2 linked regions of the Stegostoma tigrinum genome follow. The protein of the gene in region 1 binds, or shares a complex with, the protein of each later gene. Links are inferred from orthologs where the notes say so. Each region holds a gene or a part of one and is shown on either strand. Other genes may lie near its edges. The genes, in order: igf2bp1 and elavl4.

Evidence for each region.
Region 2: igf2bp1 (region 1) and elavl4 share a complex: the UniProt entries of both Homo sapiens proteins name them as parts of the TAU mRNP complex. The link is inferred for Stegostoma tigrinum from reciprocal best matches to the Homo sapiens genes IGF2BP1 and ELAVL4.

The regions. Positions count from the first base shown.
Region 1 is NC_081384.1:4,738,687-4,747,953, reverse strand, and holds the start of igf2bp1 (insulin-like growth factor 2 mRNA-binding protein 1), read right to left. Parts: upstream 4,118-9,267; 5' UTR 3,838-4,117; coding exon 3,663-3,837; intron 2,454-3,662; coding exon 2,393-2,453; intron 1-2,392. UniProt on the Homo sapiens protein: RNA-binding factor that recruits target transcripts to cytoplasmic protein-RNA complexes (mRNPs). This transcript 'caging' into mRNPs allows mRNA transport and transient storage.
Region 2 is NC_081361.1:61,863,059-61,872,053, reverse strand, and holds the start of elavl4 (ELAV-like protein 4), read right to left. Parts: upstream 4,220-8,995; 5' UTR 3,975-4,219; coding exon 3,927-3,974; intron 2,270-3,926; exon of another isoform or gene 2,114-2,269; coding exon of another isoform or gene 2,105-2,113; intron 1,823-2,104; exon of another isoform or gene 1,696-1,822; coding exon of another isoform or gene 1,672-1,695; intron 1,237-1,671; exon of another isoform or gene 1,022-1,236; intron 1-1,021. UniProt on the Homo sapiens protein: RNA-binding protein that is involved in the post-transcriptional regulation of mRNAs. Plays a role in the regulation of mRNA stability, alternative splicing and translation.

The sequences.
Region 1 (9,267 bases):
TATTTACCAAACAAAATCTCTCTAGATTCACAACTATTTCTTAAGAGTCAAATCCTATGAATAGAATTCAGTCAGTACAAAATTTTGTAAAATTACACTTGATCAATGCTAAATATGTTCATATATAAAATGAAAGTTTCTACACTTCTATTACTGAACTCTTAAGTTACTTGAAACCATTTGTAACAATCGAAAACACGCTTGAAGCAATAGGTTTGTACTTTTGTTTTACAAATGTTCTTATGAAATACAAGAAGATATCCATTTTTCTAATGACAGATTGACAGCAAACACAACAAAGTTAATTTCACTAAATCTATTATAAAATTGTATTTTATCTGCCTTCAGAATTTCAGCAATTTATCCTTTCAGTAAATAGGATCATTGAACCAAACATTTAAGTACACACAGACAATACTCCATTGAGTAACAATGTTATTTCATTTGAACTTTTACTTAGATTTCTATATTGATCTATTTAATATCTATTTTCACAGTTTTTTTAAAGAAAAAGCTAAAACTCCAATGGATATTACCACAAACATTGCATTTTGGATCTTCAGAATTTCAAGCAAAATTTCCACAAAAACAATTTTAAGTGCTTAATTTTTAACAAAACAAAATAGTTACATCTCTTTCAGGAAGACAGGATGTTAAGGTTTCATATGCAAAGTCTTTAAATTTTGTAAATGTAAACATAATAGAATATTTTAAATAAAGCAGTAAAGAATGTAGGTAGTTCACCACCACCAAAGAATTGAATTTTAACTGTTGAATTTTTTTAACTAACTTGGGCAGTAAAAACAATAAATTGTGTTTGCAGTCTATATATTTAGTGTTTACTCATCATTCCTTCCAAACCAGGTTCATCAATAAAGAACAAGGCAAAAGGTTCTTAACTAAATTTTGAATGTTCTGATCAGATTTTTTAAAATCATTGATTATAGCCATGACAATTGACTTTAAATTATGTTTTGCTGAATATTGTAACTACTTTTCAAAACTTTCAAATTGGCTGATTCAAACTTCATCTTCAGCCTTTTGAAAATACAGAGGGGGGGGCACAGTTTGATTTACAAACCTCCATGGATTATATCTAACACACCAGATGATGTTGCGTTACAAAGCATACAACTGTCTGGTTAAAATGCTAACATGGAGGACAATAGTTGCAGCTAAACCGAACTAATAAATTGCTCTCTCTACTCTATCATTTTAAATACATAATAATATGAATTGATATCAAGTGATTATTTCTAATCCAGTGCTTAACTTCTTTTATGGTATCTTTTGAACCAGCACTTATAGACATTTTACAACAGGCACTATCCAGTTTATCAGAATAAGCAAAGATACACATGCACCAAATACTTTAAAGCAAGAACAAGCAAATACTTTTACAGGTATGTCTGTAACCCAAACCAGGTTCCACACTGAATAGCCATCATGTTAGATTCTGGGTCAATGTTTTAACTTGGGTTTCTGAATGAGAACTCAGTCAAACTTTCTTATTGGAATTGTGCATCCCGTTTTGTAAAAGGTCATGCATGGCAAAACACATCAAACAGAATTCGTTAACTATTGCACTCAGAGCAATATAGGGACATGAAAATGCCAACGTGTTCGCACAGTTCTGTTGCAAAGAATCCTTAGTTTCGAGACAACGCGTCCCTTAGCGATTCAAAGCGAAAATGGAAAGGGTGGTAAAGAAACTCGGAAGATTGATTTTCCCACTGCCCCTTCAGCTCATTTCTTGCAAGCTCTCTCCCGTAGGTCGAGGCGTTCCCGGAATCGGCTTTGGAGTCAAATGAGATTTGAACCCAAAGCAAGGCTTCAGCGTTTGCAACGTGATCTACTTGAGCGGTTTCGCCAAAGGTGGGGGGTTGGGGGTGGGGGTAGTGTTGGAAATGGTGCATCTCTAACCGTCCACCCTCTCCCCATTCTCAAATCGTGACCTTTTAAATTTCTGAGCAGAAAAGCGGGAAGAGCTCGTTAAAGCTACAACAAAAATCACTGGATCCAGCTCCTCGACACTGAACCTATTTTGTCGCCCGTCGCTTTAAATCTCCAGAAAAACACATTGCAGTTCCAGCCGCGGGTTGCTGCCCACAATTGCTGCACTACTTCGCCTCAATTCAAGATTGTAATAACATCATATAGATTCAGGAAACAACTAATTTGAAATTTGTTCCATACTGCAGCACAGTATAACCACAGTTTTTTAAAAATAGCTTCTCTGAAGAGCTTCACAACTTTGTACGTCTATTTTATTTTAATCACACACACTTTCAAGCAGGAACCAGAAACAAATGTCTAATTCACTTCATAACAACTCTCCAGGATATCGCCAAATAAATATTCAAAGCAAAACAAGTATTGAAATTGCTAATACCTCTGCCGCTTGGGTACTGAGTGTTCCACTTCTATGTGTCTCCCATGGAGTTCCACTTTACCTGTAAACAAGTTCGATTTGAATTTTATTTAGTAAAATAGCGTTTCGCCTTCTTCGTCTACACTTGTACAAACACACTGGGTGAAATGAACCCCTGTTTTTATCAGGATGGATTGTCATTTTTTTTAAAAAGAGTGTGAGGGTTGAAATCTGTTGTGCATAATTGAGGATTAATTTCCTTAGTAAGTTACTGAGGAACTTTAGGATGAGGTCGCTGCTATGTATATCCAACACACATGGAAATACATTATATATCGGACCTGAAAGTTATATTTTATCTGGATAGCATAGGGGTTTTCGCCCTAGACATTTGCATGCTTGCAGTCCTATAGTATTTTCACAATCAGTATGGCCGACCTCGGCTCTGTGTGTGCCCCATCACAGGCTGTATTCAATTTCAGGAATCATTCAGAGAGCTGGGGGCGACCGGCATTCACTTACAGCCGCCGTTTTGGGGGGCCAGTCAGAGGGAAGGAGGGATAAATGTTACCCGGACTGGTCGCCTGAGGAAGGGGAGGGGGTGTCGAAGAGACGAGAGACAGAATTAAAACTGCTAACGTGGTATTATAACGGAGCTTGCAAATGACGGCCTACTATCACTAAGGGGAAGGACTAGCTAGCATCGAACCATTCTCTCCAAGAGACACCCTGATCCAAAGGAAGGGGGGGGGGGGGGGGGTGGTGGGAACCAGATCCCGCAGCAGATCCAAAGATCTGACCCAACTGGGTTTCCTTATCTGCGATTTCTTCCCAAAGGACGGAATAGCAATCTGACTCTTCCTCTATCTTTTTTTTGGTCAAACGCCGCGTGTGTTGAGTGTAATTGACTAAAAAAAAGAGAGAACCTGCTGGTTTCCAGAAACATAAAGCCCCCTCTCACGTACAGGAGGAATTGGCGCGTCTTTCCCACCCACCCCCACCCCCTATCTTTACATTAAAATCTCTATTATCTATCTTTCTGTACAATCAACATGTCACGCTTTTTGGGGAGGGAGTGGAGGACTCGAATCATTAACGTGTTGGTCAGAAATTAAAAAGGGACCAGTGCAACTCTCTCCAGAACAGAACCTTTTCCTAGCCTGGAGGAGTAGGAGGTAGGTAGGCCATTGCTAGGAACTGGGTAGGAACACAGAATCTCGCCGAGTGAACGGCGTTCTCAAGACAGCTTCAGCTCTCCCCTGCGTTTTGGATATCGGTTGAAATCGCTTACCGGATAAGGTATCGATCGCTTTCATTGCCCAGCTCTCATCTGGGCAATCTACAAAGGCATAGCCCGCTTTGAGTAGAAACTGCCCAGAAAAAGGAATCTTCCAGTCGTTGAAGATAGTTTCTAACTCTGGCACAGTCACGCTCTCACTCAGATTCCCGATGTACAGCTTGTTCATTGTGATTCTTAGGGCTTCTCTGTTTTTTTGGGGGGGTGAGCAAAGAAGGGAGGGTGTAAAATTATAACAGCACCTTCGAAATAATGATATATCCAACAACAACAACACAAAAAAACCCCACCAGCAGCAGCAACTAAAATGGTAAACGGTTGTTGCAAAGGGAGGAGAGAGAGAGAAAAACACAAAACGGCCAAAGAAAAAGTGTTAGCCGGAAACAGGGAGTTATGAAACGGTATGGCGGGCTGTGAAAGTCTATCTGCTACCCCCAAACCCCGTTGAGTCAAACTGAAAATGTCACAGGACGTTGCTGGTGGCACCGCCTCCAAATAAAATCGACCTTAAAAAATGAGTGAAATATTTGCCTGGGAGAGGTCCACGTGGTTACACACGGCCGGCCCCTCACGTGGAAGATCACGTCAGTTTCACCTCCCTCCGAGCCCCCCCCCCCCCCCCCCCCCACCACACACAAACAAAAATCCCTTTTGTTTACTACACAACATCACCCTGGCTGCTTCTCCCTCCTCACCACCCCCCACTTGCAGAGCCCTTCACGCCAGTCCCATAATAACGTGGGTTTGTTCAATAGCACTGCAACAGCGCCCAGCTCTCGCCGGCTGCTGGAGGATGTTTACTCAGGAGGGATTTTTTTTGAATGAAAATCTCCTGGGTGGTGGCATTTTTTTCTCAATGAGCTATGGCGATCTGGCGCCAAAGTTTTCCTCAGTCGAGGAGGCTTTGGGGGAGAGTGGGGAGGAAGGGGGTGGGGGCTCGGCTTCTGAATCTTATAACACTTTGAGCTTTGATGAAAGAGTTACTGGTTGGACACCACTACGCTCACTGTCTCCTCTGTTCCGTACCCATCTGCCTGCCATCCGTTACAGCCAACACAAGCTCCTTCAGGAGTGGAGCGATCAGTTCTAACTCCAAATAAAAGAATTAATTAATATCGAAAATTACCCATTGACCTTCGACAGGAAGTGCATTTTCACAGAAACTCTCTATTGGAACGAATTCCTGACTCACCAACACCCAAGTGACTTTCCAAGTGTCCTCCCATTCTGAAACTATTTCTTTGAGGAGTGCAGGGCATTGAGTGAGGTGAATGTTATCGATTGTTTTAATGTATTTTAAGTATGATGAGAAGTGTTGTGCCCTTCATCTCTACAATCATTCTCGATCCACCGTTGCTCGGTAAGCTAAGAATTAATTGGTTCATCACATACAACAGCAAAAAAACCCACACATCGCCCCGGGATGTGAACGGGATTGAGTTCATTTCGACTCCTACAAGGAGTCTGCTCGGTTCCCCGTAACTTTCTAAACGAGCAGGAAACTCTGAATCCACACGGTTTAGAATTGATTTCTTCTAGTTCGCGTTTCTGCAGAGGTATTCTGATCAGGAGTTTACAGTCCTTACAACAGTCGCATAGGGTCAAACCATAAAGACACAGGAGAGCAGTGGCTCAATATTAGTCCCTGGGGCTGAACCGACTCAGCAATGTCTGAAAAGACCGCCTCTGGGCGTCCTGTGAGGGAATCGCTGTAAAAGATCTTTCAATGGGAGAGATTTTGATGTTGAATGACTTTATCAAAAGAGCTGTACCCATTAAAAAATATTCTCCCAACCTCTGCTGCTAACTTACCATCCCTCTAACCACTCTCCGCACACCCCAAACTTACTGCCACACCCATACCTCCCCACATCATCCCCGCATTACCACCTACATCTCCAGCCACCCACGCCACCTATCAGTTGGCACGAGGTAAATATTGCACATTGGAACCGTTCCCATGTTCTCTGAGGGTGAAGTCCACGACACAGTTTAGAACGCAAGTCTCCGACGGAATATTTAGGCAAGTTCGTTGGGAGATCATTCGTGAACTTTCGCTTTTTTTTCTCTCTCAAACATGTGTCCAATATTCCCAAGGCCAGAATCCAGAAGAACATCAAACCAAAAAAAAAGTTCTGCGAATGCTGGAAACCAGAAACAAAATCAGAAATTGCTGGAAAAGCTCAGCAGGCCTGGCAGCATGTATGGAGAGAAAGCAGAGTTAACGTTTCGTTAAAAAAAAAGCAAAGCCGTTCTGGGGAAGGATCATTGGACCCAAAGCCTTAACTCTGTCTTCTCTCCATAGCGGCTACCAGACCTGCTGAGTATTTTTTTCCAGCAATTGCTGAGGAACGTGTTTTACAGGAACTGCCCTATAATGTGGTTGGAAACAAAACTGTCAACATCGAATACCGAGCGAAATTTATTCCAGAGAGAAATCATAGGACGTCAGGACGTTGTTCTCTCAAGTTAGTTACACAGTTCTATACAATCTCCATATACAAGCTGCTATCTTGTAACTTGCCCGTTATTCGTATTGAACAAAGGAGCTCCATATGTTCAACAATGATTACCCATGATTGGAGCAGTGGGAAATATAATCTCACACTGAGTGATCTTTACATTTTCTCCCTTTTTTTTAAAGAGAGGAAAGGATTGAGGAGGTGGCAGGATGGAATTGAGCTCCAGATTAACCATGCTCTGATTTTAGAGAGAAGCACATTCAAGGGACCGAGCGGCCTCCTCCTGTCCAACGGGGCCCCCCACCGTACCGTGCCCCCCACCCTCCCCATTCCATTCTCACGGATTACTGACTGCCCTGTGAATAACGAAAAACGACACAAGATACCAGGTGAAGCAAAACTGCAACTATCAGCAGGTTACGCGGCAGAACGCTCCACATTTCAATTTAATGGCTCAATTGCACAAAGACCAGAATTCGGTAAGGATCACTGTTGGATTCCAATAGATCTTTGTAAAAACCGGAAGAACTGCGGTGCTGTAAATCAGACAAAAAAAGTACAAAAACTGCTGGAAAAGCTCAGCAGGTCTGGAGGGCATCTGTGGAGTGTAATCACAGTTAACGTTGTCATTCGACTCGAAACCTTAACCGATTTCTCTCCACAGATGCTGCCAGACCTGTTGAGCTTTGCCAGCAATTTCTGAAGAACGTGTTTTGCAGGTCCTGCTCATTAATGTGTTTGGAAACAAAACTGTCAACATCGAATACCGGGAGAAGCTTATTCCACAGAAGAAGAAAGTCACAAGGGAGCGGGAGTGGGTCATTCGGCCCCTCGGCTTTCTGTTACTATTTACTATTCAATAAGATCATGTCACCTCAGCTCTGTCTTCGAGTATTACTCGCGGATCCTTTCCTTCTAATTGTGTCTAAAAATGTATCGACCTCTACCTTCAAATACTAAGCCTTTTGGAATAAACTGTGTTTCTGTTCTAATATATTGGCCTGTCGAGAGTCGGCAGCGTTTTATTGTAGCCTAATTAGTAACTGTCCCGCCGCCGCCCCTAGCCCCGTTCCCCGAACGGGAATATTGAATCCAGAACCTTGCGGACCAGTGTCCTGCTGAACGTTTTATACGTTATCACCGTTCAGATCAGTCACTGGAATGGGTGGACCTACCAAAACCACATTGCTGTTTGTGGGATCTTGTTGTGCGCGATTAGACTATGTGAGAACTGAACCGGTCATGTCATTGACTCTGGTCCACCTTGAAGAGCCTTGATGTTGAGAAAGGCGCTTTAAAGATGTAAATGCTTCCTTAAATGAATGGATTTGGAAAATAAAGATGTGTCTCAAAGGGACATATTCGCCACATTTCCCCCGGCCAATTCAAATTTGCCCAGACGCGACCCACAGTGTCTGGCGATGGGGTACGGGGTAAACTTATCTGGCGAGAGTTAAACACCGCTTGGCATTAACTCAGTGGCACGTACCTGTTGCAGGATGTGAACTCGACCCATTTGGATCGTGTAATTACACCCGCAGGGATGCAATAATGATGGCTCCCGTGGCTTGACTTGTGGGGGAGCCATAGATTGTTTCATTGTGAAAAGAGATCTGGACTTGAAGAGCGCACAATATGCTGTGATTACAATTTAGGTTAAAATATGTTTTTTGTGTGTGTTTGTGGTTGTCATGGGCGCGGGGGTCGAGTTGAAAACTCGCAGAGATCAACAGTTTCGCTCTTTGCGCTGTTAGTGATCATCTGGACAATAGGTTGGAAAAGTGAAGGGAAAGAACTTCACACGTTAAATGTTGCGGGAACTTCAGAAATCAGGATAAATAATAGGGATGGGAGGACAGAGTTGGAAGCAAGGGTGTGAAGAGAAAAGTTTGATATCGTCGCCTTAAATCTACACATGTCCCTGATGAGTTTAACCACTCAGCTTGTACATGAATGGGACTGTGGAAGCTGAGGTACAGTAACTGACGTCGCGGAGTCAGTGTCCTGTAGGAGCGGAACAATTTGATTGTTACTTGGAGACAAAGTTGCGTTTTAATTATACTGAACCAAATAAAACCGACTTAGAAATTAGTTTGGAGGCAAGTCTTAATTATTGTTAACAATTGGACGTATAAAACCGTCAGTGTGCACCTCACTGGAAAAAAGAGTTGCAGAACATGAGACTTTACAAATAAAAACACGTTCTGAAGAAGGGTTACTGGACTCGAAATGTTAACTCTGGTTTCTCTCCACAGAAACTTCATTTGCTTCGAATCGGAATTCGGAATCATTTCGTTAGGGTAGGCACGTATGAGAGGAATGTTGTGCAAAATGAGAAGGGCCTGCTCAAATCACTCTGTTGATGATCGCTTCGTAAATTCCCCAGAGTAATTCTACCCCAGATTGTCTTTGGACTAAAGATCTCACTCGGAGACCATGCACTTGAACTCTGGAAACTTCTTTGACTTCTAACTAGTTAACTGGTAACATTTTAATGAATCGCCTTAGAAGAAACTCGACTCAGAAATCTAGACAAAATGATGGACTTCAGAGACAACAAATCTGTCAATGGAAAACTTTTGTTTAAAATGATTGTTCGAAGTCAAAATTAAAATATTAGAAAGGAACACCAACATGTCAAAAAACCACAAAGGGATATTGACTTTTGCTAAGTTCATTTCACGAATAGAGATATAGTTTTTAAACGCTAGTAGACATCTGACCAGCTAAATAAGTACGTGCTCATATTGCTCCTTATGGGAGCTTGCTGTGCGCGATTTTACTGTCGCTTTTGCTACAGCAGCGACTATACCTTCATCGATAGTGAAGCGTTTTAGGATGCCGTGAGACTGTGAAAATGACATACAAAACTTTGTCTCACTAATCCCAAGATTCAGTCAATCCTAAGTTAATTCTGCTACCTCATGCCTATACAGTTGGTTTATTTAAAATATAAATCTATCTTTATATGAATCGTTAGATATTCTTTGAACCCAGACTCTGAAGTAAAGTCACAGTTCGTGTTGATGCCAATGGGGAACGGACCGTCCTTTTCAAACTAAATCCAATAAACATTGAATGGGGTTATTCAGAGCTCTGGATATGAAGCAAGGCGCAGGATGTCTGATGAAAGAACG
Region 2 (8,995 bases), on another chromosome or scaffold:
AAGATCTATTTCCTCCAGTTTCCTTTCACAACTGTATTAATACTGTCATACGATTGCAAATATCCCAGTTATATTTTTACAATCACATTAAATTTGCCAACAAACCTATAAATCTGGCAAAATTTCCTTACCTACTGCAGATTAATTTTAAATTGTCAATGTAATAAGTTAATTAATGGTAAAACATTAAACTAAAAGTTAATTTGCTTTGAATAATATCTTTAAAAGATCACAATTAAATTTTTATGAATACTAAAGTCAGCAATTTTTAAAAATAATGTTAATACCAATTCCAAGTGTTTTTAAAATTACTTTAAAACATATTTCACCTGATTTAAAGGATTTAATTGTTTATTTAGCATGATTTCATCAGAAATGAATTAGCCTTAAATCATTTTTAAATCTAAAGTTGCCTTCACTATGAAATGAACAGCGTTCAGAGTTAAGGGCATTTTATACAAATAAATATTTATTATTTTATTGCACAGGCATATAGCTAATCTTGCCATATGTGTCAAAGCAGGAACAAAGAAATAAAAAAATGTATTTGTCTACTTTGGGGTGGTGTCCTGCACAGATAGAAACCATGTTAAACAACAGATTTTAATCTTTAGGCCTTATGAAATTCAGAGACTGGTATAACCCTATAATGCACAGCCCATCTTCCTTTAGCATATGAAATCGTTTTTTATACTATATTTATACACACACACATGCACACACGCACACACACACACACTAATTGAACTAATAAGAGCAACTCATTTGACAAACAATATTCTATAAACAGTTAGTACCCTCATCCTGCTTTAGTTGTAGTTAGATATCTTTGCTTTCTCCAGTTCCTCACATCAAACGCATCACAGTTTTAACTTTAATTGAACAATTAATGTGTTCCTCTTTGCTAAAGTATTATAACGTTAAAAAAAATTGGCTCAGCAATAATAATTCAAATGAACAGGGTAGCCTAGTGAAAAATTTTAGTCATATCTGTAACAACCACTGGCAATGTAGTACTCACAATTTAGTCTTATGGGTTTTATTTGACCAGTTTTCTTTTTACTTATTGACTCTCACAATATCGTCCCCTTTGACAAGTTCAGCAACACAGAAAGAAAATCCAATGAAATGCCATTCACATTTCAGGCACAGATGTCTAATAATAGCTTCAAATGAGCTAGCCTCCAGTCTGGAATATAATTAACACCTTTTGAAACAATTAAAGTTGTGACTCTCACAGAATGGAAGAGACAATCACAGTGCCTGTTCTACCGTTTGCTTCATGGTATTCCCATATGACTGCCACCTGCTCTCTGTTCAGCTTCCTTTAGCTTGTTTCCCTGGCAACCTTTCACAGGCTTTTCTTTCTAGCTATCACTTTCATTTCAGCTGTTCAGTCTAATCTTATTTATATTGCACCCATCAAAACAAGTAGCTGATGATAAAGCCCACAGATTGCGTTGAATGGAGAAAAAAATAACTCTTTTCTACTCAACTCCCATAAATGCTTATGAACACTACAGCCTTGGTGCTCATGTATCTCAAATAAAATATGCATAAAAACCAAAAGGCATTCCTTTACTCAAAGAACAAATGTTTTCAAATACTGTATTAAAACCAAAAGAACATGTTACTGATGCTGAGGAAATAGCATATCTTTTAATCACCTACCAGTTTTAAACCACCCCATTCCATTTTTGATTAGCAAGAAATTTGTAGTCTTCAGTGAATCAAAACTGAAAGGACGTTATGTAAAAAGCAGACATGCCTCCTCTACAACACTGATTTTTCGAGTTACAAGAAATCAACATTTACCACATACTACAGCATACAAGCCTCCTCCTCTCTGATGAGGTCACAACTGCAAACTCTTTGAAATACAATATGTGTTTGTACGGGTGCTTACATAAATCACATCCTTTAAGTCATTGTAAATGCTGAATACTATTTTTGGACCCTTCACTGAAGCCTGGGTATAGGATTTAATTTCATTTGTTTCTTCACAGATAGACTTTCGTCATTATACTAATAAAAGCTACATTAAAATGAACCATTTTGGTACGTTTCCTAAGTAGATTAAAATATACCAAGTCCTAGTACATACCATAACCATTCTTATTGCACAGGATTAGATCTTATCGTACTTGAAATCTCCAGGAGAAGACCTACAATATTTCAATTCCTCTGTTAAAGATCCAAAAGCACAGTGCAAGTGTTTGTGCAAAACAAAAGAAAGCTGTACGGAATCTATGCTACAGGAAGCAACAAATCAGCTCACAGAATTGGCTGGCTTCTTCACCCTTTTACTCCCATTTATGGGACCATCTGTCACTACTGCTTGTGTCTGATTGGCTAGAAAAATAAAAGGCTGTCATGACATCAACTGCTATTGAAATTAGCTTTTACCAGATTGACGATGTTAATGATGCAGTGACCTCTATGCACAACATAGAAGAGCTTTTGAACTGCACAATGTCTCTGGTAATTAGGTCGAAATTAAGAAACCAACACACACACACAAATTTTCCCTTAATATTGTGTACTCTGGATTTGCAATCTTCAACATGAAATGTAGAGAAGACAAGATGTCATATCTCAGTCATGCTTCAATGCTTGCATCACATAACCATTGTGAAGCAAACTGGGCTTTAAAATTTATGTGTTTCAACTACCTTATCTATTCTGACAGTTGCTTTCTCAAAACGTGCATAATTAATACAAAGCCTTGGGGCTCACAGTCTACTTTGTGCATGAAGAGAATTATATAAAGAAAGTGAATTTATTTCAGAGTTCAACTTCAAGGTTTTCTCCCTTAAACTACTCTCGTGAATTCTTTATTCTACTAAACTGAAAAATATTTATGTGATTCAAAACTGTCCCATCAATGATGTACGGGCTTCAATCTGACTTGAAACAAATTTCTATACTGTAATATCAAAATTTATTTTGTCAGCTTATGTTGTCTCTTTACCACACATGCAAACCGGCATGTTAAACTGAAGAGTTAACAAATCTCAGCAAAAGCCTACAAAAATGATGGAGTTAATATAAATAAGTACAGCCATTGCTTATAAGAAAACAAATACATTTAACAGTCATGTTGCACCAAAAAATTCACAACTCTTAATTGTTGAACTGCAGCCACTGAAAGGTACAGTGAAAAAATTTCTGGGTAGAAGTCAATATTTGGCATATTTTTGTGACAGCAAAATTATATATTTTCAACCTATTAAATTAAGGAATAGAACCGGTAACAAATTTGTAATATTGAGAGAAATTGGCTCAACAAACAATACCAGCATGCCATAATTCAAGAAATCAACAGTTCCAGGATTACAAGCCAAATGTTTTTCAACTATACTGAGAAGCAAAGAACAATTTTAGTTTGTGTTGAGCACATTTCTGTCAGTATTCTCTTAGTAATTTACAACAGTTAATGGAACATAGATTTTCCATTATAAGCTTTTCTCTAGCTTCATGAGCAATCACTTACATGATCAGTCAGATTACAACTCCACATATAAAGTTGCCCATTTTCTAAAAAATGTGATTAGTTATTCATAAACTATACACAGAAACCCCTCACTTCAGTTATATGTTGTCAATGTTATCTCTTAGCAGTTCTCCCAACATGAAATTTGTCCTAACATTAGCATCAGTTGTCATTGAGCTCACACAAACCACACCAGCTAATTCAGCATTAATAATCACCTATTCTGTAGTATTTTGAAGCTTTAAATATAATCTTCAGGCCATAGCCCACAAAATATGACAAACATTCTGAATCTATTGAACAAAAAATGTAACATAATAATTAAGTACCACATCATCAGCAGAAATCTTAAATATATTATCTGAACACTATAACAGTTTAATTGGAAGGAATAATATGCAATATTGTTTGCCAGTAAAATAAAACACCTTACCTCATTATGCAATAAAGCAGCATTTAGTGTTCTGCCAATTTCAAACATTATACTGACAGTTCAGATTTACACAATCAAAAGACTTCTTTTGATAAACATTTGGCCAAATGCATTAGCATAGGGGCCTGTTTTCCGCAGATTCGACCAGGCGACAAGATTGGTCAATTTTTCCTTGTCTTAGCCAGTACTAGCCCAACAAACAGCAATGCAAATTTTCCTTTATCAAGTTCACATTAAGACTGTGTTAGACGAATTGCTGAGGCAGATTATATTACTCCAACATGGCTGTTGAGCAAATGTTCCTCTCCACTTACAGTTCCCTGCATTACCACAAGGTGAGCAGTGTGCCCAAACTTAAGTTTGTTTCTATCCTCTAAATTTTCTAACTAAACTCTTTCCAAATATATAAACCTTGACTCACATGACAGAAAAAAAAGCATATTTGCACCTACATTAATCAAGATTTTGTAAATTTTTATAGTCATTGGTATACCTTAAACTAATCTCAGAAACTTGAGCAATAAAGGTATAAGGAATGCCGATACTGATTGAAAGCTCTATGATAATTCCATGCAAATCTTACGACCAATATCATCATAACAATTAACAATAAAACAAAAAGCTTGCAATTTTAGTTCAAAAATATTTTGTTCATGATGAGGAAATAATGTCTACTAAAATAGGCCTGAAAAGACATCACCGTTGGTTATTTTCGTACTATTTGCACGGTCAATAGGAATTCCAAATAAACTCAGTACTGCTTAGTACATACTCCCCCTCTATATGAATCAAAACAATGTACAAGGTGTAGTCGTGGAAGAAAAACACCATTGAACTGGAATCTGCCTGACTTGAGATCAAAATATCAAATATTTGTTCTGGCTCTATTACAGAGGATAGAATTCATAGTGACTGGAAACAACTAAAATACCTTTTCAAAAGAATTAATCCAAAGTAAGGTTAAAACAAAAGGCTGTTATCAAGAGCACAGACATTTGAGACTCACAAATTCATTCTGTAACAGTTTCATGTTTTTGCTAAATTAATAGAATAAATTGATTATTTTATAGCATAAACTCTAATTTTGCTTGCACTCCAAATTGCCTTACAGAATTTATGTTCTATCTGTCCTACAGAGACTGAGCATCTGAGGGTAATAAATCTTCTGAATAGGGCCTTAATTTGAAGCTACAGCCCACATAACGATTTCAACATTTCTGCCCGAGAAATGTACAATGCTAAACAATTCAAGCTTTAATTAAAGAATATCTAATAGACAAGACAATTCTTTAATTTGTACACTATTTTCCACTGCACTAGGAAAGTAAAAGTACAGTATGATGGAATTAATTCTGAGAATAGATAATGATTGTGAGAGTAAAAAGAAAATCTATTTTTTTGAATAAATACATGTTAGAATTCAGACCTTTTACTTTTTAAATAAGGTATTTTGTTTTTGAGGAAATTGTAATCAAAAATAAAATCTAGTTATAAGCACTTACCTAATATGGTGCTGCCCCAAGGCACATTTATTAAATCAATACTGACCTATTGATGCACCACCATCTGCTGTACCACTGAACAGTGCTTAGCACAGTATAGTAAACAGCATGGTAGTGTCACTTTCAGTCTATTAGAGAACCAACAGAGCCTTCAACTGATGGAGTGTGTTATGAGATCCTTCTAAAATGGTCTTCATACTAGTTTCTAGCAAGTGTGTGCAATTCCTATTTCATGCTCAGCAAAGCAAAGATTCTATAATAAGTGTTTTTTTTTGTTTTTTAACCATAACCTGCAATTTATGCAACCCCGTTCCTGACAAGTCTCTTTATGCAATTAGTACAGTACTATAGCCCTGAAGTTCTGATCTAATGGCATTTAGGGGGTGAAAAAGACGATCCTAAGCTTTTATGTCTAATTGAAATTCTACTGCAACTTACAGCAGAAGTCAAACAGGATGTAGATGCACCCGCACTAGCAAGCATGCAGCTATCCACATGATAGGTTTAAAACAAGCTGCCTTCATCAGTCCTAATTTCGTCATTTCCATCCTAGGATTTGTTAATTTAATTTATGCCTCTACAAACTGGTGAAACTTGGCGCAGCAACCGAGCAATGATAATGCTGAAACTTAAAGGGAAAGCGCTTGCTTCACTGTGCAGGTACAAAGAATATCATTATTTTGCTATGAAGATTTCCTTTTGAAAAATTGATTGCAGTTCACTTTTAAGATGCTAGCCTCATTAATGGATTCTCCCTTGAGACTATTTCCTGCTTGCATACAATATGGAGAAAACTGAACAATGGTTTTACGTTGGACATTCTACTTGTGTTTTATCGGTAAAGTAACTGTAGTCAATAGTGAAATCAGAATCACAAGGCACGATCAGTGATCATTATTCTTTGACAAAATAGCAAGTCACCTGAGCTTACAGCCCCAAAATATCATTCTTCATGCAGTAAAGTGGTAGGTGTCCAATATTCCATGGGGAAAATTTTTAAAAGTAATCTCAGAGAGGTTGAGAAGGTCAGTACTTACTGGACATCTTTCATTCCCATTGTGAGTTGGCGATGGGCCTTCTTATTAAATTGCTGCAGCTGAAATGATGAACATGGCCTAAACAATATGTTCAGTATTAAGTTCGAGGATTTTGACCTAGCTACAATGAAGGAATGGTGAAATATGTCTGAGTCATGTGGCGTGTAACTTAGAAGTGTCGATGTCCTATGCATTTGCTGTCCTCGTTCTTCAAAAGTGGTGGATGTTGCAGAATTGGAAAGAATTACTCAAGAACCCTACGTAAAGTATACACTACAAAGCCAATATGCCCATGATATATATTTCATTTGAATGATGTGGTGCCAAACCAGGCAGATAGCTTAGTACTATTTGAGACAAAACAGAGTGTTGTGAGAACTGCATCCAACCAGACAAGTAGTGAGTATTCTCACATTTTCCTGACTTCTCTCTCTTGCAGGTGACAGCAAAGCTTTGGAGTGCCAGGAAGTGAGTGACTCACCATAGAGGCCTGAAGATTCTAGGAATCACAGCTAGTTGCAATAATCTCAGCATCGATCTCGCTGGGCTAATTCAGCTCCTAATTAATGTTGATGCTGAGGCGAAGCTATTGAACATTAAGGGTAATGGCTATCTTCTCTCATATTCAAGCAAAATACTGCAGCTTCTGGGAATTTGAGTAAGAACTGGAAGCACGCAAGAAAAAGCTTCAGAGGGCCTGGCAGCAGTTGTGGAGGAAAAATTTTTTTTGCCAAATGACCCTTCTTTGCAAGTGAAGGGAGTAGAAAGGCTGAGTTTGCTGACATCAAGGAGCATAAGAAATGCGCTGTAAAGAAATGCTTACTTCTACATTCTACGCATGTGCAGTTTCACTGCAGATCAGGACTCAGTGGAAGGGTTGGCATCACGACCCAGGAGATAAACTGAGAAGGGGGCAATAGAACAAAAAGGAAGGTTTCGGATAGAGTAGTGGGTGGCGGAGATTAAATGACAAAATGTGTCATGGAACGAAAGGCAAAGTAAGTGGTTATAGTAAAGAAACAAAGCTTTGGGCTAGAATAGGTCTTAATGGCAAAAATATATAATAGATTAATTTGGAAGCTAAAACATGATAATGACACAGAAGGCTGCAAAGTGCACAACTGAAAGGTGATGTACTGTTCCTCAAGTTTGTGCTGAGCTTCTCTGGAACTGTTAAGCAGGCTAAGGACAAAGATGTAAGCATGAGAGCAAAGTGGCGAATTAAAATGGCAATCAACCTGAAAAACAGGTTATGATGGTGGACTGAGCAGGTGTGTTTAGCAAAATGGTTGTCCATTCTGTGTTTGGTTTCTCCAATAAAGAGGTTATGTAAAATCCAAACTGATGTATCTTTTAAAAAATACATTGCTGCTGAAGAAGAAACACTTAGAACAAAGAATGCTCACCCCAATACAAGAAGATGCAAGTAAGTCTGTTTATTGACTTGGCATAGCAGAGATATGCAGTATGGGAACATCAAGATAAAACTGATTGCAGAATACAGAAAGCAGGAACAGGACTAGATGTAACAATCCGTTATTGACCACCATATGAATTGTACTTAGAACAATAATAAAAGAAACATAATTAAATCAATAAAACACAGTAGGCTGCATTTTACCAAAAATCAGTTAAGAGTCAATTTTAAGAGGTTTCATAGAGGGTTTCCTTTTGAACTCTATCAGGTTTTCTCATGCAATTCTCTGTGGCTCATCTTACTAAGTATGGACAACATCCCCATTCCACCTTCTCATGCTTTCTTGCACTAACGAGCAATAAACTGCCCACTGGTGCTGGAACCTTCCAGCTTTTGCATCACAGGTGCCACTTTTAAACCCAGCTATGTACTATATGAAACACTGTCAACCTGGTCTGAAATAGGCACCCAGGTTAGCATAACATCCGTGGTCTAGAGGAATGCAGAGCAATGATCAATGACCTTTGGCAAGGGCCAATTCCACTAACTTCCTTCCCTCCGCTAGCTTGCACTCAACCTAAGTTTGCCACTGCACCCACCTCTCACGGCTCATGGAGTGTCACTCTCAATATTGCATGTAACATCTTCACTAAATGACTTTCACTCACTTCATTCAACCTAACTACTAACTCTCCTGGCATCTGCAGTTTCTACTCATTAATTTAGGACAGCTCACCGCTTTTCTTGATTGGCAAAAAACTAGCCCCCCCCGACTGACCACTGTCCCCCTTTATCGTTCATTGTTGCAAAACATGACAAGCTGCCTGATTATCTGTCTGCACTAACAGGAAAGTCAAAGCAAGACAGTCAGCATCCAAGCACGTGCAAATTGTGTTAGTGCTAAGAAATTAAGTCAATGGCCTGAGGTGCACCAGTTCCGACCCATGAGATAGGTGTCTGTGCATCCACATAAAGCTGCGTTTAATCTAAGAGGTGTTGGTGAGTTCTGAAGTTCAATATTGAAGTGCTGAACTGTATCAAAATTGGGTCCCAAATATGTCTTGATGTGCCTCTGGCAGGGCTGGCGCTTTGCAGATGCCAGTGTGCAGTCAG